2 linked regions of the Stegostoma tigrinum genome follow. The protein of the gene in region 2 interacts with the protein of the main gene of each other region in a pairwise test. Links are inferred from orthologs where the notes say so. Each region holds a gene or a part of one and is shown on either strand. Other genes may lie near its edges. The genes, in order: rpl23 and bccip.

Evidence for each region.
Region 1: the proteins of bccip (region 2) and rpl23 interact in binary tests that used the Homo sapiens proteins (3 or more experiments, as listed by UniProt). The link is inferred for Stegostoma tigrinum from reciprocal best matches to the Homo sapiens genes BCCIP and RPL23.

Annotation. Positions count from the first base shown.
Region 1 is NC_081384.1:7,373,726-7,389,866, forward strand, and holds rpl23 (large ribosomal subunit protein uL14), read right to left. Parts: upstream 6,453-16,141; 5' UTR 6,356-6,452; coding exon 6,343-6,355; intron 5,435-6,342; coding exon 5,351-5,434; intron 4,451-5,350; coding exon 4,322-4,450; intron 2,435-4,321; coding exon 2,321-2,434; intron 757-2,320; coding exon 674-756; 3' UTR 615-673; downstream 1-614.
Region 2 is NC_081373.1:31,759,102-31,775,326, reverse strand, and holds the start of bccip (protein BCCIP homolog), read right to left. Parts: upstream 8,844-16,225; 5' UTR 8,617-8,843; coding exon 8,500-8,616; intron 1,970-8,499; coding exon 1,895-1,969; intron 1,788-1,894; coding exon 1,707-1,787; intron 471-1,706; coding exon 381-470; intron 1-380. UniProt on the Homo sapiens protein: During interphase, required for microtubule organizing and anchoring activities. During mitosis, required for the organization and stabilization of the spindle pole.

The sequences.
Region 1 (16,141 bases), on a different chromosome or scaffold from region 2:
GAGAAAACCAGAATTAACATTACGAGTCTGATAGGTCTGTTTCCACACTGTAGGTATTCTATGATCACTCCTTTAGAACTGATTTCTGTTGTGCTCATGTCATTCCAGACTCAAAAATGTAAAACTTTCTCTCTCCACAGATGCTGACAAGTTTTTCCAGCATTTGTGCCAACTGCAGATTTACAGCATCTGCAGTATTTGATTTTATAAATTTTGTATAAACCTAACTTATGTGACGAATTTGGAGGTGGGTGGGGGCAGTGTAAACAATTTTCATTTGTCCTAAGTTAGACTGTCAATCCAGCCTCAAAATTTGCATTTTAACCATCTCCAAACATTCATTCAGGAAATAACATTTTAAATCAACAGATAGATTACAAGTTAACAGCTTGCTTAGCTAAGTCACCTTTTCGGGAGATAAAGACAGTGGAATTTCCCAATTACGTAATCTGCAGAAGAGAGACAGTTGATATCAAAATGTAAGACTTGAGTGAAGATTATCAAATAGAGGTTATTTTATTTACAAACAGCAAGTGCAAACCACATCTGATTACAGAACGTGCTACAGATAAATTAGAGAACAATTAAAAATAAACTCAATGACTTCTCAAATCTCGGAGTAAAAATATTTATTGAATTGTACAGGTGTTGTTATAGAAAGTGTTTATAATTCTTATGCGATGCTCCCAGCATTGGAAGCAATCCTGGGCCACAGATCTGCACACTCCTTGGCAACAGGGCCTGTGATTGCAGAGCCTAGAAACAAAACCAGGTATTATTAGCAAGTCACAAGTTGACCAGGAGACAAATTGCTTAAAATATGACAAATGCAACATAGAAACAGATATCTAACTATTGATTAAAGTTAGAGGGAATAATCATTTCTCTTCTATCTGTAAAAGATCAGTGTTAAAATTGCAACTGTATCAGATGACAGGTAAAATAACAGGCAGCTCTTCCACAGTTCAAGGGGGACCAATCTACATCAAAGACAGGGATGCAGGTCCAATCTACTTCAGGGTAGTGTTAATTACTTGGATGAGGAAAGTGAATGAACTGTCGCCAAGTTTGCAGACGACCAATAGGTGGGAAGGCAAGTGGTGAAGATGATAACTTGTAACGGTAAGCAGGGTAAAAACTTGGCAGATGGTATAGAACATAGGGAAATGTGAGGTTACGCACTTTGGCAGGAGGGTAGAGCTGAATATTATTTAAATGCATAAAAACACAAAGTTACAGAACAGGGGGACTTGGGAGTCCCTGTGCAAATATCAAAAAGGGAATGGAGTATGAAAGAAAGGATTCTCTGCTAAAACTATATGAAGGAAAGATATGCTGAGATTGGAGATTATCCACCCCAAGGTTCACGAGGTTGATACCAGGCGCGGAGGGACTATCTTTTAAGGAGAGGTTGACTCGGTCCATACCCATGGAGTTCAGAAAAATAACGAGTAACCTTATTGAAATACACAATTTTTTTCAATTCTTTGCTGCAGGGAGCTGACTCCGGGTCATTCAGCATATTCAACGGTAAGGCAGGTTTTCCATCAGCGGATTAACAGTCATAGGGAAAAGGCAGGAAAGTGGATTTGAGGATCATCAGATTGGCTGTAATCTCATTGAATGGCAGAGTAGGCTCAACGGGCTGACTCCGACGTATCCTGGTTTTAAGGAAACCAATCTGTTTTACTGGCGTTATTCTTAGCTGCTGGCCAGACATTTAGCCAACTCAGTGCAGCACTGGATGGTTTCAGGATTTTGGAAAAAAATTATTAACAATTAGAATTCAATGAGTGAAACAATTTAAGGGACAGCAGCATTTATAAATGTCAGGTTCTTTAATTCATATTGAAACAGACCCCCAGCAGCTGATTAAAATTGGGTGAAAAAACCCCAGGAAATTCAAGACTGACTACTTCCAGTCAGTAGAGGCACAAGATGGATAAGCATTCCAAATCCAGTTGCAAAACGAACTCACTTGCTTCTCACAACCGGAATAAGCCTTCAGCTCATTGCTGAGATACAATGGGAGAAAAAAAGTGACTGAATCAAGTTTCAGGATTTGCAATGGAGTGTCACACCACTACTTGAGATTGTACAGCACATAGCAGCTGCCACCTCACCCAAAAGCAATGCGTTGCTCTGCCCTTCCGCGACAACTTGATAAGCCATGGAGAAGAGGCAAAGCAAGTGCTTTTAGGAAGGGAACTGTGCAGCGTTCAATACAACAGAGATGAGAATTCTGAACAGCTGGAAAAAGGAAACATAGGAATACAGAAGTGAAACATTAAATTGTAGATTTTTCGACTGTCACCTATACCTTTCATTTCTCCTTTGTTATTTACTATCACCCCTGCATTGTCTTCGAAGTAGAGAAATACTCCATCTTTTCTCCGGTATGCTTTCCGTTGCCGTATCACTACTGCTGGATGCACTGTACCGTGAGGAAACAGAAAAGATGATCGGTATTTGCAATCTCCCATTATGAAACAAGACCTAAATGAGCTAATTGCCATGCTTATTTTGGTTTCAATTTATTCCATTGTAGAGCTATGGAACAGAAAGTCATCTTTGTAGTTGAACAACAAACACACAGCAAACTGCACTGAAGTCAGCCTTGTGAAGCCATTTAAATCACGGCCCCATCTCTTCAAGAATCAGACTGCAAACTGTTTCACTGCGGATTGAGATTCTACAACAATGCAGCTGCAATCTCACCCAAAAGCAATGAATTACTATTCCCATCCCTGACAACTCACTGAGTCACACAGTACAGACAAAGTGCATGCTTTTAGGAGGGTGAACCAGTCAGTAAAATACAATCATGATGAAAATCCAAGGTGCAGACTATTCAGCTTTGAAAGGGAACAAGTTATAGATGGCATGACATGTATGTGATTGCCTGAAATAGAAAATATTAACCCAAGCACCAAATCTGAGGTATAGACAGTCCATAAGTATTACACACATACAAGCACAAAAAAGTGTTCAGACTTCAAATGGCGACACGTTCTTTATTCTTTGAGTTATTATGTATTATCTTAGTATGCACAAAACAGATTTCACAACTTTGCTTTTGGACTATGAAGTTCAGAAATTGTGAGCAAGTGGCAATATTTCACACTAAGCATAAACAAGCAATCTTCTGCACCACTCAACAAAGAGAGACAAATATAAACAGTAACAAAACATTACTATGTACACTGTGGATGCCAATGAGAATATTACACTCAGAGGCACAATATAAAACACATGGAGTCAGTCACTGACAGACCCAAGTAAACCAGGCAATCACATTTAAGCATTATCCAATAATTCCATTACGTTTCGTCACCATACTAGGTAACATCATCAGTGAGCCTCCAACGAAGAGCTGGTGTTATGTCCCGCTTTCTATTTTCTAAATAGAAAGCGGGACATAACACCAGCGCTTCGTCAGAGGCTCACTGATGATGTTACCTAGTATGGTGATGAAACATCTGAAAACGAACCTTCCAGCTCAGTGAGCAAACTCACATCCAGAACCTCAACCTGAGCTACAAATCTTCTCAAAACTCGCTAATTCCATTACGTACTATCCTCCATTCATTTGAGTTCTAGTAGAAAACTGTTGAGAGCAAAAAGTAAAAACACATCTGAAGTGCATGCACTGACTTCCCAAATGACCCCAATGCATCCTGAGTGAAGCAATTCAAATGTTAATTCACAGACAGGTTACTAGTTTTGCTACAGGTTAGTTACAGGTTGTCATTCTAAATGCAGGTGATGCCCACGCTACATTTATAAACTGAATCTAAGGAAAGCAGAATCAGCTTTGAGTTACTTGAATATCAAGGTTCTCAACACAACCTCAACCAGTTATAAACACCCACATCATCCACTTATTTCCAATGATACTTGAGAATAACCCCACAGTATGTGACATTGCTACTTGGTCTTGCAATCCAACACACCCCATTCTCTCCTTGGTGTCAACTGCATCTCTTGTCCACATTCAAGAATCAACTAAGGAAAAGCCTGTCTCCCTGCTACTCTACACCAACTTTATTTAATGAACTGAAGACATGCACAAGATGGAAAAAGGAGATATCCAAATGAACATATGAGTAAAATAGACATCTAGGATTCCTCAGTGTATATAAAGCCCTGGAGATTAAAACATGATTTGATAAAAACAACATTACACCCATAGTGCTGTACTTGAGAATTCCCACTGCTGACAATGGATTGGACAATTTATACTGATTCAAAGCCACACTTACAGGCTGCAAGATCTTCCACTTCACCATTCCGATTCACTAATTTCAAGGAGCTTACTCACCCTTTTTCCGGAGTTCTGGTTTGCCTTTCTTTACAGTTGCCATGACCATGTCACCAACACCAGCAGCTGGTAGTCTGTTCAAACGTCCCTTGATGCCTTTGACAGAGATGATGTACAGGTTCTTGGCCCCTGAAAGCACATGATCAGCAAACAGGTAAAACATCTTCCTACAGTTACCATAGAAAAAAAGCTGACGCCACGCTTCAAAACATACACAGGCATAAACCATTCAAAGCACGTCTTGACAATATGCAAGAATAAATGCACACAATCTCACACAAAGATCATTTTAAAATAAGGCCCCAAATCCCTCTATGCTAAAATATTGAATGCCCAGTAGTAATATAGCTGGACACAATCCTAGAAAAACTACTTAATTTCACCAGAACAGACCTTCCTACCTTTAGGCAGGAGGGCATGAGTCAGTCCTGCCATTCAATATTCTTGTATTCAATCTACCAACTATACTACCTCTATTTCTTAGGAACCAGAAATCTGTCAAGAGCAACCTTCAACACATTCATAAGCATCATCCACAGTTCACCGGGATTTTCAAGAACTACAACTCTATGTGAGGGCATTTCTTCTAAATCCAAAATAATCAACCTCTCACTTTGAACTGACACACCTATATATAGACTCCTCAAAGCAAAGCAAACAACTATTTAACACTCACTCTCTCAAGCCTTAAGGATTTTATACATTTTAGCAGTCTTGCTTATAACATAAAAGCCAGAACAGGTCATTTGGCCCTTTGAGCCTGCTCCACTATTCAACAAAATCATAGCTGATCTGATTTTAAACTTGACACTACATTCTAATAATCGCTCGTCCCCTTTCATCAAAAATCCCATGAATATGCCTTGGCCCCTTAATATTTCCCAAAGGAAACTCCCCACATGCCAGAAATCTGACTAGCAAACTTTTCCTGCATTTCCTTCAAAGGTAATATCCTTTCAGAGACAAAAAGGCCAAATGTAGAATTATTCTGTCTTACCATATAGGACTCAGAGACAAAAACATTCTTACCTGTATTATCAGCGCAGTTAATCACAGCCCCCACGGGGAGACCGAGGGAGATGCGAAACTTCGCTCCGGACGAACCACCACGTCCTGCAACCAAGGAAAATAAAAGATATTTCAGCAGTATGCAACTAATCAAAAGCAACATGGAATTATATTTAGCCAGGACTTGTAACTGCTGGTCACTTCCCACAGGCCGTTCTATGATCTTTACATAGGGTAATGCAGATGTGTAACTGAATTCCCAAACAAAGTAATTAAGTTTTCCAACATCTTCATTAAAGAAAGAGGGCTAGTTTAATGTCAGAAGCTTAGCCAACCTTGTATAATTAGAGGCAGACCTTGTAAACTTGAAATATTAACAGGCAGGTGCAGGACAATTCAGATCTTGTCTATTACTAATTATTTCCAGAATTCTGTGTTTCTGGGGTAATAATTGATACTGCCATCTAAGCAGAACTTCACAATAAGAAAAGGTGGGATGTGGAGCATGCAAACTAATCATTTTTAACACCCATGTGTTCCGTTGCTTTGCCTAAACGTCTCCACACAGCAGGCTGAAGTTACAGCATTAAGACGTCTCCCTTCAAGTGAAAGCCCCAAACAACAGCTTTCTGATAGGGCCTCGCTGCTGAAGTCAACGACATGGAGCGGCCGCCTACGCCTAGAAGGCAGCCTACTCCCGGCTTCACCCAGATAACCGATGTACACCCTTTCCACGGTATTGCAGCGAATGTTAAACCAGTTTCTCGGTAGGGACCGAACTTTGCAAGTCTCTCGGCCCCCACGAGCCGGGTTGGATCCAACATGGCGGCCGCCACGGACACCAGAACAATAAGAGGCTTATTATGTGATAAAGTCCGCTGATTTTTACTAACAGTCACACCAAGCGATAGCTAAGACAATTGTAATAATGATCCAAATACAAAAACAGGAGTGCCGGCGATATGTAACACGGATGGCAGTGGATTCCATTGAGGGTCCCCCCAACCGCTTACCTCTCTTAGACATTGTAATTCAGGGAAAGAGACCTAGCACCTTGAATCATGGGATATATCGCCAACACACGCAACATGACGTAACGACGCACATTACGCGTGAACAGACACCACGTGACAGCATGTCATGTGACAAAACATGCACAATGCGGAAATATTCATATGCAGAAGATTGACAGCATGCGAGGAGGTTATTTACCCTTGAGAATAAAATGTGAGGCTGGATGAACACAGCAGGCCAAGCAGCATCTCAGGAGCACAAAAGCTGACGTTTCGGGCCTAGACCCTTCATCAGAGAGGGGGATGGGGGGAGGGAACTGGAATAAATAGGGAGAGAGGGGGAGGCGGACCGAAGATGGAGAGTAAAGAAGATAGGTGGAGAGAGTGTAGGTGGGGAGGTAGGGAGGGGATAGGTCAGTCCAGGGAAGACGGACAGGTCAAGGAGGTGGGATGAGGTTAGTAGGTAGCTGGGGGTGCGGCTTGGGGTGGGAGGAAGGGATGGGTGAGAGGAAGAACCGGTTAGGGAGGCAGAGACAGGTTGGACTGGTTTTGGGATGCAGTGGGTGGGGGGGAAGAGCTGGGCTGGTTGTGTGGTGCAGTGGGGGGAGTTTTGTCTTCACTGTTGGTTATTTGCAACAGCAATTCTGAAGAAGGGTTACTGGACTTGAAATGTTAACTCTGTTTCTCTCTCTTTGTCTATAGGTGCTGGCAGACCTGCTAAGTTTCATCAGCGCTTTTTGTTTATTTCAGTTCATTTAGTATCACTCTCCTGTCTTCTCCCTATCGCCTGCAAGATATTTCATTTTGAGATAATTATGCAGTTTCTCTTCCCCCGTAAGCCATGCTGCCACAGCCTTCTCACAGTCGAAACAATTTGCTGCAGAAAGTGAAAGCAAAATACAAACAGATGCTGGGAATCTGAAACCAACACAGAGAAGACTGGAGAAATGCAGCAGGTTTGGCAGCATCAGAAAGGGAGAGTTCACATTTAAAGTTTGGAATGATATGAGGCTACATCAAGACTGTTGCTTTCTGCAAAAAATGCTTTCCTCATGGCATCATTGCTTCTTTTGTCAGTAGCCTGAAATCCTTTGATTCTTGGGTTTGCCCAAATGAGAATAGTCTCTCCTTGTCTACTGACTTCCTCAAAGCTCTAACCACTTAAAGGATCTCATTAGCGGTGTTACATGAGTCATTGCAACAAGTTGCAACTTTAAGGATATTGTGCCACCAGATAAGTTGATCTGGAATGAAATCTGGCTGTAATCAGTGCAAAAACTCACTAACAAGTCAAAAATCAACCTACAGCCTGAAGACATTGTGAAACTTACATGCAATGGTCACAGTGGAAAGTGTATTTAAAGTATCATTGCATTTTTAAAAAGCATTTGACTGAAAGCCAAATAGGTACAATGGTTCAATGCAGAGCTGGTGGCATGGTAGCTCAGTGGTTAGCACTGCTGCCTCACAGCATTCGATTCCACTCTCAGGCGACTGTCTATGTGGAGTTTGCATGTTCTCACTGTGTCTGCGTGGGTTTCTGCTGGGTCCTTCGGTTTCCTCCCACAGTCCAAAGATGTACAAGTTAGGTCGATTGGTCATGCTAAATTGCCCCATAGTGTTCAGGGATGTGTAGGTTAGGTACGTTAGCCATGGGAAATGGAGGGTTACAGAACTAGGCTAAGGGGATAGGTCTGGGTGGGATGCTCTTTGGAGAGTCAGTGTGGACTCTTTGGGCTGAATGACCTGTTTCTACATGGAGGGATCATATAAAATAAAACACATTTGACTGTGAATTGAAGCCTGTGGTTCAAATCCTGATGTGAACTTGAAATTTCATCTTAGGGGTTGTTTAACTCAGTTGGTTTGAGATGCAGAGACACGACATTGTGGGTACATTTCCCCACGTCATAAAGTTCCTGCCTTCTCAATCTCACCTCATTATACTCACTGCCAGTTACTGCTCTCTAAGGAGAGAGCTGCCCTCTGGCACTATGGTGACTTTTCAGAAGCTTGTGAGACAGAAGGGAATAGAGGAATATGTGGACAGTGATAAATAAAAATAAGGCTAGAATAAACACAAGTACAGAGAATATTGTAAGCAATCACACCTTGAAATTAACAAGCACAATCTGATCACAGATTAGTAAGAACTTCCAATGCTGGAGTTAGAGCTAACACAGTGTGAGGCTGGAGGAACACAGCAGGCCAGGCAGCAGAGGAGCAGGAAAGTTGACGTTTGAAGGGTCTAGGCCCAAAACAGCAGCTTTTGTGCTCCTGAGATGCTGCTTGGCCTGCTGTGTTCATCCAGCTCCGCACTTTGTTGTTTCACATCAGGACCTTTCTTCAAAAAATCTGCTCTGCAGGGTTCTGTCACCAAGCAAGAGTTTGAATCAAATAAGCCGGTGTTTGATTACCAATATGTCTGCAGAGCTTTAAAAAAAGAGACATTTGAAGAAGACTACTTTGGTTCTGATTTTGCTGTGGAAATAATGGTGAGGTTAGTGGTATTCGCGGCTATTACAGAATAAGTGAGATTCCTGTATTTGGCTCATACTCAGTTAAACACAGACGTGTACAACTTGCAATCTGAGATACTTTAATTTTCTAGAAGCCCTTTTGTACTATCTGACACTTCTGAAATACATGTAAGACATGATGTTGGCTTGTGTATCTTTTACATATCGTAGAAAAAGAGACAGCCTTATTGAATAAAGTGTAAATGAATTTAAATTACATACCAGCTCCTAGTTATGTGCAAACAACATTTGCAACACTAAAAATGAGATTTTAAATGTGTGATATCTTATTGTTACAACAGTTACTGTTAAAGATTTTAAAATAATTTTTAAAAAATTGTTTCAAATTTTATTTTTCTCCAATCTCCCATTTTGGACCAAATTTTCACATCGACGGAGAGGTCCTCCATCTGCATGAAAATGCCAGGCCAGAATCCAGAAGCCCTGTCCCTGGATACAGTCTTTGCAATATCTTGAGTAATTCTTGGAGGAAATGGGGATGAATCCTAATTTGCACATAGAGTCATACAGCACGGAAACAGACCCTTGGGTCCAACTCGCCCATGCTGAGCAAGTATCCTGAACTGAACTGGCCCCATTTGCTTGCATTTGGCTTGCATCCCTCTAAACCATTCCTATTCAGGAACCCATCCAAATGTCTTTTTAATGTTGTAATTGTATTCACCCCAACCGCTTTCTCTGGCAGCTCGTTCCACACACGCATCACCCTCTGTGTGAAAAAGTAACCTTCGGGTCCCCTTTATATCTTTCTCCTTTCCAACCTAAAACTATGCCCTCTACCTTTGGACTGCCTTACCCTGGGGAAAAGACCTTGGCTCCTCACCTTATCTAAGCCCCTCATGATTTTATAAATGTCTTCAATGTCACCCCTCAGCTTTCAACGCTCCAGGGAGGAAAGTCCCAGCCTATCGACATCCTTAATTCCCGTGAAGCACCCCTCGACATAAAGCAGCAGCTGACTCCAAGCATGTGTATTTTGATTGAAAATGTCAGAGATGCTGATGCTCTGGTACCTGACTCTGAATGAAGCAATACTAGTCAAGAACAATTTGTGTATAAATAAAAGGTGACTTGGTGATGGGATATTGGTCTCTGACAAGCTGTTTCAGGCCTAGGCATAGGTGTCTTTAAGGAGGGAACAGGTATCCTTTGCGACTGTTAAACATGGACATGGCTGTGTGTAAACTCATTGTCAAAGAATTGTTAACCAGGACACATTTCTTCTCAAGAGTTACTTTCTGATTTCTGTGTCTATTTCTTGGTTTAAGGAGCTCTATTTTTAATTCTCATTTCTGTTTATTACATGATTAAGTCATGTGGAACATTACCTTCTAGATTTGTGTTGACATGTGGTGAATGGTAATGACTTTTTTTTAAAAACAGTCAGACATTAATTTTACACAGTGACTTCCAAACAGCATTCACAAGAAACTGTGTGATTTTAGCTAAGTGTCCTGGACGCCATCAGGGAGACAGTTCATTTGGTGCTCGCTGTCTTGGGTTACACAACCAGCAGAGAGCAAAGGGGAAGGGGCCAAAAACAGGTTCATGCAAGAGAAGAAACATGATAGGAAAGGTGCTTTTAGCAGCATAAAAACATTTTAAAAAAGCAGAATTAGGCCATTCATCCCTGCCACATAATCCAATGGCTGATCTACTCCAAGCCCTCAACCCCTACATTCATGCCAACTCCTCATAGCCTTCAACTCCACAATACTTAAAAAATCTGTTTACCTCTTCTTTAAATACTTCCAGTGATCAACCTCCACAATTTTATGTCAAAGTCTCCTCAGAATCTTGTATACTCCAATTAGACCTCCAACGACCATCATTTTTTATGCTGGGTGTATGTACAACCTACAGAGACTCTTCCCCTGATTTCCATTGATTCCAGTTTTGCCAGGGCTCTTTGATATCACACTCAGACAAATGCAGCCTTGATGTCAAGGGCTGTCACTCTCACCTCACCGCTGGAATTCAGCTCTTTTGTCCATGTTCGAACCAAGGCTGTAATGAGGTCAGGAGCTGAGTGGCCCTGGTGGAACCCAAACTGGGTGTCACTGGGCAGGTTATTGCTGAGCAGGTGCTGCTAGATAGTGCTGTTAGTGACACTTTCCATCACTTTACTGATGTTCGAGATGTATAAGACATACCAGGACAATTGTCCACATTAGAAACTGAAAGAACTACGGATGCTGTAAATCAGAAATAAAAACAGAAGTTGCTGAAAAAGCTCAGCAGGTCTGGCAGCATCTGTTGTTAGGTAGATATCCCTGTTGTAACTGTACTGAAAAAGCTTGGCAAGCAGCCAAGTCATTGATACAATTATGTCAGCAAAATGACAAAATGAATGTTTAAATGCCAAGTTAATTACAATATACATGAGTGTGAGGTGGTGTGTTTCGATAGACAGCTATGCCTTGAAAAATAAGAGTCTAAATGAGACAGAGGTGGATCCAGGATGATTTTTGAGCCAGAGTATATTAGAAGAATATCAAATCTGTGGAAACGGTGCAGAAGAGATTTAATAGAATGAGACCAAGGATGAATGACAACAGTTATGTGGGGAGAATAGAGATGTTGGGATTATGGTACCTATAGCACAAAAGGCTACAGAAGAATTTGATTGAGGTGTCCAAATTATAGTGGATTTCCTCGAGTCAATGGGTCCTTTGCCAAAATAGAACAGTGTGTAAATGATTGTACCAACTGAATGTAGCATGAAGAAATCACTGTTTTAATGCTGATATTGTTAGTTGAGTTAGATTACACTGAATCAGGTACTCAATAACACTGCACACTTTTGAATTAGTGAGATAACAAGGTGTAGAGCTGGATGAACACTGCAGGCCAAGCTGCATCAGAGGAGCAGGAAAGCTCCTGTGCCCAAAATGTCAGCTTTTCTGCTCCTTTGATGCTGCTTGGCCTGCTGTGTTCATCCAGCTCTACACCTTGTTATCACAGATTGCCCAGCATCTGCAATTCTTACTATCTCTATGTTTGAGTTAGTGACGTTGTCTTTATGTATGGGTCAGTTTCATGGAGACTGTTGGGTGATGAGGAGCTGGACTGATGTTGTTTTAACTATGAATTTCAACTGTCTGCTGGGAAAGATCCAAACAACTTGGTGATTGCTGAACCCCAAAGAGTGTTGTTTTCCTGAGTTTTACCAAAGTGTAAACATCAAGAATCAATATGAGACAGATAGTAGGAACTGCCGATGCTGGAGAATCTGAGATAACAAGGTGTAGAGCTGGATGAACACAGCAGGCCAAGCAGCATCAGAGGAGCAGGAAAGCCATTTCTGAAGAAGGGTCCCGACCCGAAATGGCAACTTTCCTGCTCCTCTGATGCTGCTCAGCCTGCTGTGTTCATCTAACTCTACACTTTGTTATCTAAGAATTAGTGTGATGTTTGATCAAGGGTGCAATGACATAATTGCAACAGCACATTCAGAGGTTTTCCTTTAAGCTACAAGTGTTTCTCAAAACACTATCAATGTGAGGACCAAGAAATTTGCTCAGCCAATATTCCTTTATCTGGCAATAAATAACAACTGCTGATGCTGGAGTCTGAGATAACACAGTGTGGAGCTGGAGGAACACAGCAGGTTAGGCAGCATCAGAGGAGCAGGAAAGCTGCTGTTTCGGGTCAGGACCCATCTTCAGAAATGGGGGAGGGGAAGGGGGCTTTGAAACAAATAGTGAGAGAGTGGGTTGGGCTGGGGAAGGTAGATGGGATGGTGATAGTGATAGTGAGTGCAGGTAGGTAGCAGTGGGGATTAGTCAGTGAGGTGGGAGAGAAGACGGACAGGTCAAGGAGGCAGGGATAAGAGGGGCTGGGGAAGGTAGGTGCAATGGCGATAGATGAGTGCAGGTAGGCATTGACCAATCCCCACCACTGCCAACTTGATAGAATTCTTTGAGGAAGTGACAAAGTTGATGGATGAGGGAAGGGCTGTAGATTTCAAATACATTGACTTCAGTGAGGTGTTTGATAAGCTTCCCCATGGTAGGCTGATGGAGAAAGTGAAGTTGCATGGCGTCCAAGGTGTAGCAGCTGGATGGATAGAGAGTTGGCTGGGCAACAGGAGGCAGAGAGTTGTAGTGGATGGGAGTTTCTCAAAATGGAGAACTGTGACCAGTGGTGTTCCACAGGGGTCTGTGTTGGGACCACTGTTGTTTGTGATATACATAAATGATCTGGAGGAATGTATAGATGTGTGATTAGCACGTTTGCAGATGACACTAAGATTGGTGGAGTAGCAGATAGTGAAGGAAACTGTCAGAGATTACAGCAGAATATAGATAGATTGGAGAGTTGAGCAGATAAATGGCAGATGGAATTCAATCCAGGCAAATGCGAGGTGATGCATTTTGGAAGATCCAATTCAAGAGTGAACTATACAGTAAATGGAAAAGCCCTGGGGAAAACTGATGCATAAAGAGATCTGGGTGTCCAGGTCCATTGTACCCTAAAAGTGACAACGCAGGTCGATAGAGTGGTCAAGAAGGCATACGGCATGCTTTCCTTCAATGAAGGGGAATTGAGTACAAGAGTTGGTCGGTCATGTTACAGTTGTAAAGGACTTTGGTTCGACCACATCTGGAATACTGCGTACAGTTCTGGTTGCCACATTACCAAAAGGATGTGGATGCTTTGGAGAGGGTGCAGAGGAAGTTCACGAGGCTGTTGCCTGGTATGGAGGGTGCTAGCTATAAAGTGAGGTTGAGTAGATTAAGATTATTGACACCAGAAAGATGGAGATTGAGGGGTTCCTGATTGAGGTCTACAAAATCATGAGAGGTATAGACAGGGTGGATAGCAAGAAGCTTTTTCCCAGAGTGGGGTACTCAATTACTACCCGTCACGATTTCAAGATGAGAGGGGAAAAGTTTAAGGGAGATATACTTGGAAAGTTCTTTACACAGAGGGTGGTGGGTGCCTGGAACATGTTGCCAGCGGAGGTGGTAGATGCGGGCACGATAGTGTCATTTAAGATGTATCTAGACAGGCACATGAATGGGCAGAGAGCAGAGGGATAGAGATCCTTGGAAAATAGGTGAAAGGTTTAGATAGAGGATCTGGATCAACGCAGGTTTGGAGTGCCAAAGGGCCTGTTCCTGTGAGGTAATTTTCTTTATTCTTGGTTCTTACCTGCTCCTCTGATGCTGCCCGGCCTGCTGTGTTCCTTCAGATCCACACTGTGTTATCCCTTTACCTGGACATTTTGTTAACCCCTAGAACCTTCAAAGAAGTTAAGAACGTTCATGATAGTTGGGAATTCCGATGTGGCAATTTAGTTTTGGTTTTGGAATGTAGGTGACACCAATAGAGGCATTTACTGCCCATCCGTAATCACTATAGGTCATTAAGAATCAGTCTCTGGGAGCTGAAAGCCTACGTAGGCCAGGCTGGGTAATGTGGCTTCCTTTACTTGAAAGAATTTCATTAATCACTTGGGTTTTTAACGTCAGGTTCATGACAGATTATTTTTCTGCTCCAAAATTTATTGAATCCAATTTCACACTTTCTTACTGTGATAGGATTTTTCTGGCCAAATAATCATAACCATGAGACGAATATGGAGGATGATGGGATAGTGTAGAGGGATGGGCTTAGATTAGTTCACAGGTCGGCGCAACATTGAGGGCCGAAGGGCCTGTTCTGCCCTGTATTGTTCCAAGTTCTATGATATGTCTGAAAATAAAACAAAATCAAACCTTTCAGATTAAAATAGAATAGCAAATGTGGCAGATAGGATGGTGACATGAATAGGGGCATGACAGATGGAGTTAAATGTGGACATGTGCACAGTAATTCACTTTGTGAGGATCAACATCAAAAGACAGTAAACTATAAATGAACTATAAGATGATCCAAAGGGATGATGTGGGGAATTCTGTTCATTCAGGGAATTATCAGGACCTGGAGTGCTGTCTGGAAGTGTGGTAGAAACTGATTCCATTAATGTTTTGAAGCGGGGCATGGAACAGATACTTGAAGCTAAGGAACTTGTAGGAACTTATTGGTCAAAAGGCAGGAATGCGAGACTCAGCACAACTGCACTTGGAAAGAGGTTTGGTTAACTTGGCTAGACAGCCAATGCACCAACAGTGTGGGTTCAATTTCTGTACCCTTTGAGGTTACCATGAAGATCCTGCTTTCTGAGCCTCACCCCTTGCCTGAGGCACAGAGACGCTCAGGTTAAACCAGCATGCATTGTCTCTCTCTGTCTCTCTGAGGAGACAGCAGTCCTCTGGGATTATGATGATTTTACACTCTGTGGAGTCAACCTCTCTCTGGGACAAATTGATCTACTGTAATGCAGCTAAAGTGTACACTATGCAATGGAGGAGGTGTTATAATTTTAGGTATAATTCTATGAAGCTGCTTTGTGTTTATGATCCCTTGCCACTTTCAAACTAAACGTAAACAAACAAAAAGTTACAAGATGCTACTCTCACTTATTCAAAGGGCATCACCAACTGTAGCTTCTGGTCCTGCCAGGTGCCTTTTGTTCTCCCTGTCTCCATTAACCAAACATGGGCCAAAGATGGTCAGCCTGATTCTTTCTACCTGAGTGACAATTCCAGCTTCAATGGTAACTCATTCATCTTGACACAAACTGAAGTCATGTGAGATGAAATAAAAGTGTTAAGGGTTTCATTATTTTTTCTTGGGTTGTGTGAAATTTAGGACGGGATACAACAAGAAACTCTTCATATTTCTAAAACATGGGCAAAGCTTGTCTCATGTGCATCGAAACAGACAGACGTATCTTGAAGGAGCCTCAAACAAAACTTTGTGACTCAAGGATGAGTTATGCCCAGCTAAGCTGTGCACTAGGTTTTGGCCACATTTCCTACATTACATCAGTGACTGGACTTCAATGTACAGGTGGGGTGGTAGGAGTGGGACTTGAATGAACACACAGCTTTCTGACACACAGTCTGTCAAAGTTACTACTGAAACCTGGCTATCTTCCTCCCAAATCATTCATCCGGAAGCCTATACAATGTTGTCACTGGTACAAATTGTGAAGACCGCATCAGTTAATTGCAGCATAGATGGGCCATTAGATCCTTATGACTTGGTAATATGCCAGCCATCATGGTCATTGCTTAACAAGGAAAGCCAACTCATTTAACCAATGCTAACATTGCATGAACTCCCTGGAGAATTATTTTAGGGGAAAGTGCACATTCAGAGTCTGTGTCAGATATCTATGCTTTCAGCTCCTAAGATATTAGTACTTA
Region 2 (16,225 bases):
TATTGCCCTACCCTTTTCAATTTTGAACAGGGACATAACATTTGTCACTCTCTAGCCATCTGGCATAATTCTTATTTCCAAAAATGCTTGGAAAAATTTAAGAGTGGTTTGCCTGCTTCAAAAGGTGGTGAACCCGACTACTTCCCTTCTTCAGGGAAAAATGCCAAGGATTCCGATTTCAACAACTGATATTAACATAAATGTAGAGATTAGTTGCAGTATTTAATCACTATTAAATGCACTGGTCCTAAAGACGATTTTCAAAACAGTCGAAGAAAACATACAATAACCAGCTTAATTTCTATATTAGAAATCAGTTGCATGTAAATTCAAACACAAATAAAGCAATTTACAAACTCAGTTAAGAATGGCGTATTTACCTTTCTTTCAGTCAGATTTATAGCAGTGATGAACCCAAAGATGTCATCTTCGTCATCTTCTTCATTACTTCCATCCAATATCTCAGCTTGCTTTAAAATATAAAAGGATTAATCTATACAATGCAGTGAAGCATAAATTCAAGCTAAACAATTCATACAAGTCTTATTTCCATTTAATACCTAGGAGTACTTCAGAATAAGTACATCCAGTTTCTCTTTTGAACCCAAGACACTTCACTGACTTTCAAATTTCTCTAATATCAAATATGAAGCATACTATGAATATGATTCACATGGCACCAAACAGTGCAAAGTGTGTTAATAATATCAAGCAGTCAGATTAGTAAATCAAGAACCGTTCTCATCTTAAAAGCCAAAAGAACTGCCGATGCTGTAAATCAGGAACAAAAACAAAGTTGCTGGAAAAGCTCTGCAGGTCTGGCAGCATCTGTGGAGGAGAAAACAGAGTTAATGTTTTGGTTCCGGTGACCATACCGCCTAGAACTGTTCTGAGTTCTGAGGAAGGGTCACCAAGTCCAAAACGTTAACTCTGTTTTCTCCTCCACAGATGTCGCCAGACCATTCTCATCTTAATTTTTTAAGATACTTCCAGTAGCACATTCCAACATCATTATTATGAACATAACTGTCAGGGCAAAAACATTAATCCAATTTTCTTCTTCAGATCACTGACTTGCTTTGTACTCCAACATTTTTTGTTGTGATGTTTTGACCCCCGAGTGAAAGGAGCACTACTTCAAATTACCAACAAACTATTCTCCTTGGATAACTGGCCTGAGAAGATAGCTATAAAATTTCATAAGTAGCAGTAACAGGATTGCCTTCACTACATGTTGGAGGAGAATATAACTTTCACATGTAGGCAATCATGCTAACTACATACCTTGAACAGTACCAATTGCTGTACAAACTCAACTCTGAAACAAGTTTACAAATAATAGTTGCATTTCATAAGGAAGTCATCGCAGGGATACTAATGCCATCTGCTCATACAACAGCATCTTTGCATAGGTCTCATGTTTATGTTGGTTAAATCATATGAAATACATGAAACATTGCAGAATAATCTGGAATTATCAAAACATGCCTAACCAGACTCTGTATCAGAATCTGCAATTTTTATGAGCTAATTTGACCAAATGACAAACCAAATTTATTTGCAACTTTAAGCTCAATTTTCAAGCTCAAAAATCTATTTTAAAAATATGAAGATCAAGCAGGGAAAAAAGCTATTATTATCTTTCTCAGTTTTGATCAGGTACTCTGTGATAGTACTTAAGAACAAAGCCAACTCAGTTGACATACCCGAATAACACTTCCAACATGATTTTGTTGAATTATGATGTTAGCTAGTTCAATGATGTTGATACTGGCCTTGAGAAATAACTGCAAAAGGAAAAACAATGAAATGCAGCATTACAACTGTTGTAAATTGGCACTAAATTAGCCACACAAAACCTACACCTAAAAAAATCTCACATTTTCAAAGTTACCTGTTGCAACAGTCTCTTGATTCCATTATGATCATTGTCAGATATGGCATGCGCTTCAAAATCTACTTGCACTTCCTGCAGAACAGAAATATTTGTAAACATATGCAGGCATTAACACCATAGAGGGTGGGACACCAGCAGCAAAGTCAGTATCGTTTAACCCATCTGCAATTACCAAGATGGCGGCAAGATGCCACCTTGCACCACTGCGGTTACATAGGGGCCTCTAGTATTTACCATAGTGACAGTAAAAGAATGAATACATATTTTCAACACAAGCAACTTGGAAATGCAACCAATTTGGCAAATGAGTTTGGGAAGTTGAGAAGGAACCTTGGTGAATGGCTGCAGTGTATTTTGCAACACAGAGATGGTGAATTGAGTGATTAAGGCGGAGGTGGTCCAAATCAATTGGGCTCTCTCACCTTCCTTGTCCCCTCCCCTTCAACCCTTCCGCCAATTTCTTGTCCCCTTCCCTCCAACTTCTTCCCTTTCTTATCATCCTCCAACTTTTGCCCACTGCGCAACTATCTGCTCCTCCGAGATAATAAAGTGTGAAGCTGGATGAACACAGCAGGCCAAGCAGCATCTTAGGAGCACAAAAGCTGCCGTTTCAGGCCTAGATCCTTCATCAGAAAAGGGGGAGGGGGAGAGGGTTTTGAAATAAATAGGGAGAGAGGGGGAGGCAGATCGAAGATGGATAGAGGAGAAGATAGGTGGAGAGGAGACAGACAGGTTAAAGGGGCGGGAATGAAGCCTCTAGAGGTGAGTTTAGAGAGTGGGGAGGTAGGGATGGGATAGGTCAGTCCGGGGAGGACGGACAGGTCAAGGGGGCGGGATGAAGTTAGTAGGTAGGAAATGGAGTTGCAGCTTGAAGTGGGAGGAGGGCATAAGTGAGAGGAAGAACATTCTAGCGAAAAGGATAAATAGGGTGGTCAGTAGGACTTTAAACTAGTGAGTCGGGGGGAAAGGAAAGTGAAAGAGAGAGGGAGTATGGAGTTAAGTGAAAAGATAAGCAACAGGATAGCATGCGTACAGGTGGATTTAAGCTCGAGGCAGACTAGGAATACAGCAAAAAGGAAGGATAGCTTAAGACACTTTGGGATTTCCAACCTCTCTAATAATGATAAGAAAGCTAGCATTAAGACACTTTATCTAAATGCTCTCGGTATTCACAACAAAGTAGATGAATTAACAGCACAAATCCTCTTGAATGATTATGATGTGATAGGCATCACAGACACAAGGTTGCAGGGAGCTCAGGACTGGCAGTTAAACATCCAAGGATTCACAACATATCGAAAAGACAGGGAGGTGGGCAGAGGGGGTGGGGTTGCATTGTTAGTTAAGAATGGAATTAAATCTATGGCACTGAATGACAGAGGGTCAGTATATGTGGAGTCTGTGTGGGTGGAATTGAGAACCACAAAAGCAAAAAAAAACTATAATGGGAGTTATGTATAGACCTCCTAACAGTGATCAGGACAAGGGTCGCAAGATGCACCGAGAAATAAATAGGGCATGTCAGAAAGGCAAGGTCACGGTGATCATGGGGGACTTCAATATGCAGGTGGATTGGGTGAATAATGCTGCTGGTGGATCCAAAGAAAGAGAATGCATGGTATGTTTGCAGGATGGCTTTTGGGAACAGCTTGTGATGGAGCCCACAAGGGAGCAGGCTATTCTGGACTTACTGCTATGTAATGAGCCAGACTTTATAAAAGACCTTAAAGTAAGGGAACACTTCGGAGGCAGCGATCATAATATGGTAGAGTTCAATCTGCAGTGTGAAAGAGAGAAGGCAAAATCGGATGTAATGGTGTTACAGTTAAATAAAGGTAATTACAGGGGCATGAGAGAGGAATTGATGAAAATCGACTAGAAGCAGAGCCTAGCAAGGAAGGCAGTAGACCAACAATGGCAGGAATTTCTGGGTGTAATTGAGGACACAGTACAGAGGTTCATCCCAAAGAAAAGAAAGATTATCCGGGGTGGGCTTAGACAGCCATGGCTGACAAAGGAAGTCAGGAGATATGTCAAAGAAAAAGAGACAGCCTATAAAGTGGCCAAGAGCACTGGGAAATCAGAAGGTTGGGAAAGCTACAAAAACAGACAGAGGATAACAAAGAGAGCAATAAGGAAGGAGAAGATCAAATATGAAGGTAAGCTAGCTAGTAATATTAGAAATGATAGTAAAAGCTTCTTTCAATACATAAGAAACAAACAAGAGGCAAAAGTAGATATTGGCCCGCTCCAAATTGATGCAGGAAGGCTAGTGATGGGAGATAAGGAAATAGCTGAAGAACTTAATAAATACTTCGCATCAGTCTTCACAGTGGAAGACATGAGTAGTATGCCAACAATTAGGGAGAGCCAGGGGGCAGAGTTGAGTATGGTAGGCATTACAAACGAGAAAGTGCTAGAAAAGCTAAAAATTGATAAATCTCCTGGCCCCAATGGGCTGCATCCCAGAGTTCTGAGGGACGTGGCTGAGGAAATAGCGGAGGCTTTGGTCGTGATCTTTCAAAAATCACTGGAGTCAGGGAAAGTCCCAGATGATTGGAAAACTACTGTTGTAACTCCCTTGTTTAAGAAAGGATCAAGGCAAAAGATGGAAAATTATAGGCCGATTAGCTTAACCTCAATAGTTGGTAAAATTCTAGAATTCATTGTCAAGGATGAGATTTCTAAATTCCTGGAAGTGCAGGGTCAGATTAAAACATGTCAGCATGGTTTTAGTAAGGGGAGGTCATGCCTGACAAACCTGTGAGAATTCTTTGAAGAGGTAACAAGTATGTTAGACCAGGGAAACCCAGTAGATGTTATCTATCTAGACTTCCAAAAGGCCTTTGATACAGTGCCTCACGGGAGGCTGCTGAGCAAGGTGAGGGCCCATGGTGTTCAAGGTGAGCTACTGGCTTGGATTGAGGATTGGCTGTCTGACAGAAGGCAGAGAGTTGGGATAAAAGGGTCTTTTTCGGAACGGCAATCGGTGACGAGTGGTGTCGCGCAGGGTTCAGTGTTGGGGCCACAGCTGTTCACCTTGTATATTAATGATCTGGATGAAGGGACTGGGGGCATTCTGGCGAAGTTTGCTGATGATACGAAGATAGGTGGACGGGCAGGTAGTACTGAGGAGGTGGGGAAGCTGCAGAAAGACTTAGACAGTTTAGGAGAGTGGTCCAGGAAATGGCTGATGAAATTCAATGTGAGTAAATGTGGGGTTTTGCACTTTGGAAAAAAAAAATACAGGCAATTTAAACGGTGAGAAAATTCGCAGATCAGAAGTGCAAAAGGGATCTGGGAGTGTTGGTCCAGGATTCTCTAAAGGTTAACTTGCAGGTAGAGTCCGTAATTAAGAAAGTGAATGTAATGTTGTTGTTTATCTCAAGAGGGTTGGAATATAAAAGCAGCGATGTGCTTCTGAGGCTTTGTAAGGCTCTAGTTAGGCCCCATTTAGAATACTGTGTCCAATTTTGGGCCACACACCTCAGGAAGAACATATTAGCCCTGGAGGGTGTCCAGCGGAGATTCACAGCGATGATCCCTGGAATGGTAGGTTTAACGTATGATGAACGGCTAAGGATCCTGGGATTGTACTCATTAGAGTTTAGAAGGTTGAGGGGAGATCTAATAGAAACTTACAAGATAATGTATGGTTTAGAAGGGGTGGACGCTAGGAAGTTGTTTCCGTTAGGCAGGGAGACTAGGACCCGTGGGCATAGCCTTAAAATTAGAGGGGGTAAATTTAAAACTGAAATGAGACGACATTTCTTCAGCCAGAGAGTGGTGGGCTTGTGGAATTCATTGCCGCAGAGTGCAGTGGAGGCAGGGGCGTTGGATGCCTTCAAGGCAGAGATCGACAAATTCTTGATCTCAAAAGGAATCAAGGGCTACGGGGGGTAGTGCAGGGAAGTGGTGTTGAAATGCCCATCAGCCATGATTTAAATGGCGGAGTGGACTTGATGGGCTGAATGGCCTCACTTCCACTCCTATGTCTTATGGCCTTATGGTCTAACAGGTTAGGGAGGTGGGGACGAGCTGGGCTAGTTTTGGGATGCAGTGGTGGTGAGGGGGGAGGGTGGAGAGATTCTGAAGCTTGTGAAATCCACATTGACACAATTGGGTTACAGGGTTCCCAGGCGGAATACGAGTTGCTGTTCCTGCAACCTTCGGGTGGCATTGTTGTGGCACTGTAGGAGGCCCAGGATGGACATGTTGTCTGAGGAATGAAAGGGGGGGGTAGTTGAAATGGTTCGTGACTGGGAGGTGCTGTTGTTTATTGCAGACCAAGTATAGGTGTTCTGCAAAGCAGTCCCCAAGCCTCCACTTAGTTTACCTGATGTAGAGGTGGCCACAACAGGTACAGCAAATGCAGTATACCACATCGGCAGATGTGCAGGTGAACATCTGCTTGATGTGGAAGGTCTTCTTGGAGCATGGGATGGGGTTGAGGGAGGTGGTGTGTGGGCAAGTGTAGCACTTCCCGCAGTTGCAGGGGAAAGTGCCAGGTGTGGTGGGGTTGGAGGGGAGTGTGGAGCAGACAAGGGAATCACAGATGAGTTGCGGGAAATGCGGGAGACACGGTCGAGAGCATTCTTGACCACTGCGGAGGGGAAGTCGCGGTCCTTGAAGTTCACCTGGACCATCTCCAAACACATCCCTCACCTTGCTGGACCTCTCTGTCTTCATCTCAGGCAACCATCTAGAAACCGATATCCATTTCAAGGCCACCGACTCCCACAGCTACCTGGAATACACCTCCTCCCACCCACCTTCCTGCTAAAATTCCATCCCCTATTCCCAATTCCATCACCTCCGCCACATCTGCTCCCAGGATGAGGCATTCCACTCCCGTACATCCCAGACATAACTCATCCTTCAAGGATCACAACTTCCCCCGCAGTGTTCGAGAATATCCTCGACCATGCCTCCTGCATTCACCGCAACTCATCCCTCACATCCCGTCCCTGCAATAACCACCAAAAGAGAATCCCCCTCGTCCTCAGATACCACCCGATCAACCTCCGGATCCAACGCATCACCCTCCAACACTTCCACCATCTACAATCTGACCCCAACACCAAGACATTTTTCCATCCCCACCCTTGTCTGCTTTCCGGAGAGACCACTCTCTCCGTGACTCCCTTGTCTGCTCCAGACACCCCTCCAACCCTACCACGCCCGGCACTATCCCCTGCAACCCCAGGAAGTGCTACACTTGCCCACACATCACCTCCCTCACCCCCATCCCACGCCCAAGGCGGGCTTCCACATCAAGCAGTTGTTCACCTGCACATCTGCCGATGTGGTATACTGCATCCGCTGTACCTGTTGTGGCCTCCTCTACATCAGGGAAACCAAGTGAAGGCATGGGGACCGCTTTGCAGAACACCTACGCTCGGTCCACAATAAACAACTGCACCGCCCAGTCGTGAACCATTTCAACTCCCCCTCCCATTCCTCAGACGACATGTCCATACGGGGCCTCCTGCAGTGCCACAACGACGCCACCCGACGGTTGCAGGAACAGCAACTCATATTCCGCTTGGAAACCCTGCAGCCCAATGGTATCAATGTGGATTTCACAAGATTGAAAATCTCCCTTCTTCCCCCCCCCCACTGCATCCCAAAACCAGCCCAGCTCATCCCAGCCTCCCTAACCAGTTCTTCCTCTCACCTATGCCCTCCTCCCACCTCAAGCCGCACCTCTATTTCCTACCTATTAACCTCACCCCACCCCCTTGGCCTATCCGTCCTCCCCAGATTGACCTATCCATTCCCTACCTCCCCACCTGCACACACCTCTACAGGCTCCATCCCTGCCCTTCTAACTTGTCTGTCTCCTCTCCACCTATCTTCTCCTCTATCCTTCTTCAATCTGCCTCCCCCTCCCCCTTTTCTGAAGAAGGGCCTTGGCCCAAAACGTCAGCTGTTGTGCTCCTGAGATGCTGCTTGGCCTGCTGTGTTCATCCAGCTCCACACTCTGTTATCTCGAATTCTCCAGCATCTGCAGTTCCCATTATCTCTGATACAATTTTACCCTCTCCTCTGCCCCACTACCCTTTCCCATTTCCCATTTCCCTCAACACACCCAATCTCCACTACTCCATCTTATCTACCCTGACTTTTTCCACTTGTGTCCATATCCATTTCTCTTCCGTCCTGAGTCTCTCTCACTCTTGAAAAGAAACAGATAGGTTGTTGATTAGTAAGGGGGATGAAGGGTTATTGTGGGGATAATACTGTGGAGCTGGAAGAACACAGGGAGCCAGGGCAGCCGGAAAGTTGTTCCTCTGATGCTGCCTGGCCTGCTGTATTCCTCCAGCTCCACGCTGTATTTTCGCTGACGCCAACATCTGCAGTTCTTGCTACCTCTTGAGGCGGAGATGGCGATGGGGAGAACAGAAGGCAAGAGGATGGGATTGAGAAAGACATCGGCCATGTTGGAGAAGATTTGATGGACTGAATGGCCTAATTCACCTCCTGTATCCTCTAGTCTCTCCCGCTCTCTGTGCTCCCCACCTCCCCAGTGGCTGCGCGCGCTCGGGTTCTAAACCCGTCTCGCGGGCGGTGACGGTTGGGTCGACCGTTATTTTTCTCACTTGGTGTATTTCCGGCTCCGACTCTTCACTACTGTCCCCAGACTCTTCCTCCGTTCCACTTCCCCTAGACTCCTCTACTGCCGGATCCAGCTGCCGCCGTTTGGCCGAAGACGCCATCTTCCAGAGCGCAACGTCAGCGGAAACTACACTGCCCGGGGGCCTTTTCCACAGCCGGAAATCATTGCTCTAAACCGTGACAACCATTCCCACTTGCCGCGAAAATCATCTGCGATTCCGTATCGTGTGAAGTGTGAAGAAACACCTCTTTCTGTGAGTGTCAGATTAAAGCTACTGTTGGGTGCAGGGATCATTTGGCGCTGCCCATTCATGACCTTCGACCCCAAAGCGGGCGACCTGCGGTGACGTCATCGGTGGGAACGCCTTGGCAGTGAGTGAGAAATAAGTCTGTAGTATTGTAGATATAGGGCGGACCTGGAATGGGGGCGCGGTGGGAATAGGAATAGAGAGGAGATTTCTGAAGGAGGGTCCACACCCGAAACATCGGGAATTCCTGGTCGTCTGATGCTGCCGTGCCTGCTGTGTTCTTGCAGCTCCACACCTGATCCTAAGAGAGAGAGCTACTGGGATAAAGGGAGGACTGGAATATGGGGGTGGTGGGACCATGGAATGTAGTGGTTTGGAATAGAAAGGAATCTGGAAAATGGGAGTGCAGGAATAGAAGAGGACTGGAAATAAAGGGGAGGGGGATTTGGATGGTAGGTGGTACTGAACATAGGGAGTAACTTGAAGGAACTGAAATAACTGAAATATGAGAGAGGATCTGAAGTATAGGGGGACTAGAATGTAGGTTTAATCTGAAATACAGAGAGGGGCTGGAATAAAGTAGGGATTTGAAAAGTAATTGGGGAAACTGGAATATAGCAGGATTAGAGTATAGGATGGATCTGGGATCTAGGGGTTTACTGAAATATGGGGGGGATCTGGAGTCCAGAGAGGTTCTGGAATATTGGGGACTGAATATAGAGAAGTACTGGAACATAGTAGGAACTGGAATAGAGTGGGGATTTAAGGAAGGACTGGAATAAAGGTGTAGGTACGGGTATATTGGCGTTGAGAATATAGGGTGGATCTGGAATTTGACAAGGACTGAAACATTGGGGACTGGAATGTAGGGCCATCTGGGATATAGAGAAGTACTGGAATATAGGGGATTGAATATAAGGAAGCACTGGAACATAGTAAGACAGGAATAGAGAGGGGATCTAGTATAAAGTGGGGAGTTGGAATATAATTGTGGGGACTGGAATATGGGGGATGAGAATGTAGGGTGGATGTGGAATACAGGGAGGGACTGAAATGTAGGGGGCATCTGGATTATAGGTACGGACTGGACTCTTAGTAGGCAGAACTGAAATGTAGAGGACATCTGGAATGTAAGGGGGACTGAACATAGGTCGTAACTGAAATATAGTGGATTCGGGTATAAGGGGAGATGTGGAGTTTAGGGACGGTTGAAATATTGGGGGAGTCTGGATTATAGGGGTGGATCTGGAAAGAGTAATCTTTGGAATATGGGGTACGAGTTGGAATATGTAGGGGTCTGGATGTAGGAGGGAGTCTGGAAATGGTGAGGACTGGAATATCATGAAGGGGCCTGGATTGTCGGGAGGACATGAGTAATACAGGGGTGTCTGGAATATAAATGTCTGGAATATGTGGGAGTGCCTGGACTGTCGAGGGGAGGGGTAGTCTGGAATACTATTGAGGCGATCTGGAATACTGTTGCAGAAGGAATATAATTGGCACAGTCTGAAATCTGGGGAGTCCAGACAGGATGCAGTATGTGGTGGAGAGAGCAAACTGTCTGTAATATAGGGATCTATCTGAAATGCATGGAGAGGGATAGTGTGGCGTATACAGAGATCCGCCTACAATGCAGAGAGGGGACAGTATGAAATATGTAGGTACCTTTTGTTAATAAAGAGAGAGACTTCTGGAATGTAAAGGTCCCTGTAGTAATATAAAAAGAAATCTCCTGTAATATAGAGATCCTTCTTACATAGAGAGGGACAGTCTGAATTATAAAGATACATTTGAAATACAGGGAGGGGTGGTCTAAAATATGTAAGGAGAAGAACAGTCCAAAATGTACAGTGACCATCAAATACATAGTCAATGATAGTAAGTAATGTAAAGAGTGAGTGATAACCTCTGGGTACATAGCTGACATTTAAAGGACTACCTGAAATATACAGAAAGTGCCAGATTGATATACATAGAAATGGATAGCCTCAAGTACATATATAGTGACAGTTAGAAATATAGAGAGTGACAATACTCAGTGCCAGCCTGAAATATGCAAAAAGCTACAGTCAAAAACATAGACAATGTGACAGTTCAAAATGATCGTAGAAGTAGAAAATCATAGAATCCCTACAGTGGAAACAGGCCCTTCGCCCAACAGATCTACACACTGACCCTCAGAGCATCGCACCCAGTCCCATCCCCCTAATCTACACATCCCTCAACACTATGGGCAATTTAGCATGGCCGATCCACTTACCCTGCACACCTTTGGACTGTGGGAGGAAATCCACGCAGACATGGGGAGAATGTGCAAACTCCACACAGACAGTCGCCTGAGGTTGGCATCAAACCCGGGCCCCTGGTGCCGTGAGGCAGCAGTGCTAACCACTGAGCCACCATGTAGAAACATTGACATAGAACCATAGAATATAGGAGCCAGAATAGGCCACTCAGCCCTTCAAGCCTGCTGTGCCATTCAGAATAATAATGGCTGATGATCCAATTAAATACCTTGCTCCTGACTTTGCCCTATATCCTTTGATCCATTTATAGTTGACAGTGAAATAAAGTGACAGAAATGTACAGTCAGAAACACATAGAGAGTCTGGAGGCAATTCCAGAGAGAGGCCATGGAGGGATTTGAAAAAAATTTGAATTTTAAAACTTGGGAGTAGTTTGATCAGAAGCAAGTACAATTTGGCTAATAAAGGATTGATGAATGAATAAGACTAATGCAAGAACACTGCAGAATTTAGGATGAGCTTAAGATTTTGGAATGTGGGAAGGAAGCCAGGAGCTTTTTAGACTGGTTGAGTCTAGAAATAACAAAAGTGTGGATCACTGTTCCAGCAGATGCGCTGAGGTAGTGGTAATTCTACGGAGTTAGAAATCAGACAGTCTTGGTGATGGCAGATATATAGTCTGAAACGGGTACTGAGGTCAGATATTCTGCTAATGTTATGAATAATTTGGTTCAGCCTCAGATGGTTGCCGTAGAGCGTGATGAAATGGAATTTGTGGTAGTGACTGAAGACAATGGTTTCAATCTTCCCAATATTTAATTGGAAGTGATTTTTGTTGTTAGATGTCAGACAACTAGTCTGATAATTTAGAAACAGTGAAAGAATCAAGAGATTGAGAAGTTACAGAGAGAGGTACATATCAGATGAGTGGTACAAGGATAAAACAGTATGAATTTCAGTTACATATAGAGCCGCATAAACTGAATGACACCTATCTAGCAGAATACTGACACCCAGCTACGTACTGAGTAAGAGTGACAGTTAACAATTCAATCACAGGTGCTTACAGAATATCACATTGACAAAGGCATAGTTTGACTGACAGCTACATGCAAAGGGATTGTATGTTGAGTGACTGAGATATGTACATAGTAGGAAATGACACTGAGTGGCATAAATACTCTGAATGGGCAACAGAAAGATCAATATTGATATGCACAAAGCGAACCATAGAGGGAAGCATTGCAAGATATGGTCTGAATTTTACATGCACCTCTGTGTTTTTGGCAGAGTGGGTATGTAAATTTGGAAGGGTGCCAACCTCACCCCTTTCTCACCCATCTCTGAGCTCACTCCCATACCATGGTAGGTGGACAGGAGCCAAACTGACTTCTGGAGCGATTAGTTAATGAGGTTGGTCAGCAGCTTCAAGAGGTGGGACCTCTCCCCAGTGATGGGTAGCTGCCCCAGTCTCATCCACGAATTCAATTGATACACCAGCACTAACACCCCTATCCCCTCCTGTGCAATAGCTACAGCTGCAGCGTGGCTTTCTTCTTGGTCAATCCACTCCTCACTGACTTTGCTGTGGGGTGTGGGGGATGCATTGGGTAAGCTGTCCCTCCGTCACTAACCCATGTAAAAGTGTGCCCATTGTGATTTTGCTTTTCATTCAGATCTTAATCACTTAGACAGTGACTACAGGCACCACATTTACATGTTTAGACAATGTACTGGACTGGATCAATAGTCCTTCATCATGTACAAAGCAAATAAGAGGTTTTTGTTCACATTGGTGAGTCGGAAAATTAGGGTCTGTGCTTCCATTGATTAAACAGATTCCTCATGATAATTTTGCCCATCAGGATTCATTGGTAATAGAGTAATGTAAAATTGGATTATGAATAATCATGCTATGAATAAGAAATCAAGATATTGGATGTGGGTCTGGCATTGTTGCTGGTCCAAAAAGCTGCATTATCCTGAACCCAAATGAACTTATTAAACGCTATAGTGCTGAATCAACTGTTTTACTGCTACTCCTATCTAGCAAAGCATTTGGATCATTTCAAAAAAGAGCTTAGTGGCAGCTGCAATGTTAGCAATCAACAACCAAGGAAAGGCTATTAGCCTCATGACTAACAAGTTTTTATTGTTGGAAAGTTTAAAAATGTAATTCTCCATGTTGCAACTTGTATTCAAGTTGGGAAAAAGTTAGAATAAATATAACGGACATAGTTCTCAGGCTATAAATTAAATTCCCAAGCCAAAACAGTGCTTCTTGAATTGCCTGCACCAAGTTAAATGGTTTGGCTTTTATTCTGAGGCAACATCTGCTGGATTGAGACCTCAAGAAACATCTTTTCTACTTGACACCTGTCTATCCCTTCAAGAATTTTGTAAGTACCTCGTAGATCACCTCTCAGTCTTCTAAACTCCAGGGAATGCAGGCCCAGTCTGCTCAATCCCTCCTCATCGGACCGTCTTAGCATCCCATAAACCAATCTGGTAAACCTTACTGTAATCCTATGCCAAGAGGATCAGAACTGTGTACAATAATCTAGTTGTGGTCTCACCAGTTTTATGTACACTGAACAAGAACCTCTAACTCCTGTGCTCAGATTCTGTTGGGATAAAGACCAACAGTCGATTTGCTTTCTGAATTGCTTGCTGCAGATGCATACTAGCTGCCAGTGACCTATGATCAAGGACATCTAGGTCTTTTTAGATTTCAACATTTTCCAATCAACACCATTAATGCAATATTCTGTACCTTTGTTGCTCCTACCAAAGTGGATAAACTTTTTACATATCAATGTTATATTCCATCTACCATGCTCTTGAGTACAGATTCAGTCTAAGATTCTTAAAGCCACATTGCCTCCCCCCTCACAGCTCAAATTCCCATTTGAATCATTTGCAAACTTGAAATATTATAATTGGTCCCCAGATCATTGATACAGATTATGAACAGCTGGGGCCTAAGCAATGAGATACCCTACCAACTTGAGAATTAACTATTCATTCCTACTGTCAGCTTTCTGTGTGTTAACCAATACTTAATCATTGCTGCACAATATCCCTAATGTCATGCACTTTAATCTTGTTTGCCGACTTCCTATGTGAGACTTTATCAAAGGACTTCTGAAAATCCAAATATCCCATAACCACTTGTTATCTGCTAGTAGCATCATCAAAATCTTCATCACATTTGTCAAATCTGATTTCCCCTTCATAAATCTATGTTGACTCTGTCCAATCAGACAACCATTTTCTAAATACCCAGTAAAAGCATTTTTTTAAAACAGAGTCTAGTATTTTACCTGCTACTGGTGCAAGCCAATAAAGCTGTGATGTTTTCCCTCCCCTTTCTTTCTTAAATAGTCTGGTTAAATTTTCAATCTTCCAATCTGTAGGCACCATTGCAGAATTTTTGAAAGGTAATCACTAATGCATCTATTGTCTCTCTAGGTATCTGTTTGAAGGTTATTGGGCCCCAGGGGTTTGTCAACTCTCAGTCGGAGTAATTTCCAAAATACTATAACTTTACTAACACTAATTTCTTTCATTTCTACAATTGGTCACTGGACTTCTGGATCTTCATTATTTCAGGAAACTTCTTTTGCCTTCTTCTGTAAAGACAGACAAAAAGTATTTATTTGGTTTCTCTGCCATTTCTGTCTTGTTTATAAATTCATCTGTCTCTGACTATAATGGACCCTCATTCATCTCTACTAATTATTTCCTTTATATTTATCTTCAAAGGCTTTTACAATCTGTTTTATGTTTCTTACTACTTACATTCATTCCATTCTGTTTTTGTAACAATTTCTTTGTCCTTCTTTGCTGAATTGTAAAATTCTCCAAATCTTCAGGTTTGCAACTATTGTTGGCAATTTTATAAGGTTCCTCCTACAATTAACTTGCCTTGCTATCCCTGCCACTTCTGCTTTCTGTCAAGGTAGGAAGCGTGTAAAATCAAACTGTTGATCTTTCGGCCACCTCATGACATTTCTAAAATTTTACGTTGGGGAGACATCTGCTGTCCACTTGCCCTTGGACCTTTTGAGGATTCCTCTGCCACTATTATTTGACCTGTATTGGGGAGGCTGACATCATGTGGGAAATCCGGTAAGCTTTAATTGCATAGGCTGGTGTCAGGCAAGGAGTACAGTTGAAGGGGTTGTGGAGAACTCCATTGCAAGTCCTCTAGGCCAACCCCATGTATCATCTGATCCCTGGTCTCATGAACCCAGCCTCCCAACCTCACTCCCCCACTGACATCCCCAACTCCAGAATTACGAGGACTCTTCGACATGATATAACTGTCTGTGGCAATAGCATTGGCCAGTATGCCCAGCTGGTGTTGCTTAGTCTACAGAGCTACTAATTGGCCAATACTTTTCCTCCTGAGAAACCAAAAGAAGTCTCACCTTAAAGCAATTAGCCCTGCTTCCAGTGTTAATTTGCTGTGGGACAACCATCAAGATCATTAGTGGGCTCCCCATCCATCTACTTTTTAGCTGAGAATGCAGAGACTGGTGCCCTGTAAAATCCAAGAAACAGAGAGAAAAGAACAGAGCCATGATCAAGTACATGTAGGATGAATGGACAGAAATAAATACACACAGGAAATGGAAGTAAATGTGTGAGGTACAGTAAGTGAAAGCAAAGGAATTGATAGAAAAGGTGTTACAAACTTAAAATGAGAAATTCACTTAAGAATTCTTAATGCGCAGTAGAAACATGAATCTCCCAGTATGCCGTTAAGTATGTTGCCATAACATTAAACAATAGTGCAGTTGAGAAAAATTCAAGATTCAATGCCCAGTATGTGGCTGACAGGATAGAATTGAGTGAGTTACAAATATCCTCACCATTCCTAGGCAAGTGAAAATTTAGCTGAGGACACAGACTTAACTAACACAAGTTTTGTCAAACAGGCATATTCAAATAATTAAATATTATACCTTTGCCCCATTAACAATGATACTAAGAAACATTGGTGTGGTATTTAGCAGTATTCATCTAACCTGTGTATTAAATGCTTTATTAATGACAGTAATGAGATTCGAATATACACTATGTAATGTACAATTATTTCTTCATACATTTGCTACATATTGCTTTTTACACCCAGCCACCTCTTTGAGTGTCTGAAGCAACGTTTCCTAGAAAGATGAGATGGAGACAGAAACTAGTGTTAACAAAAAAGT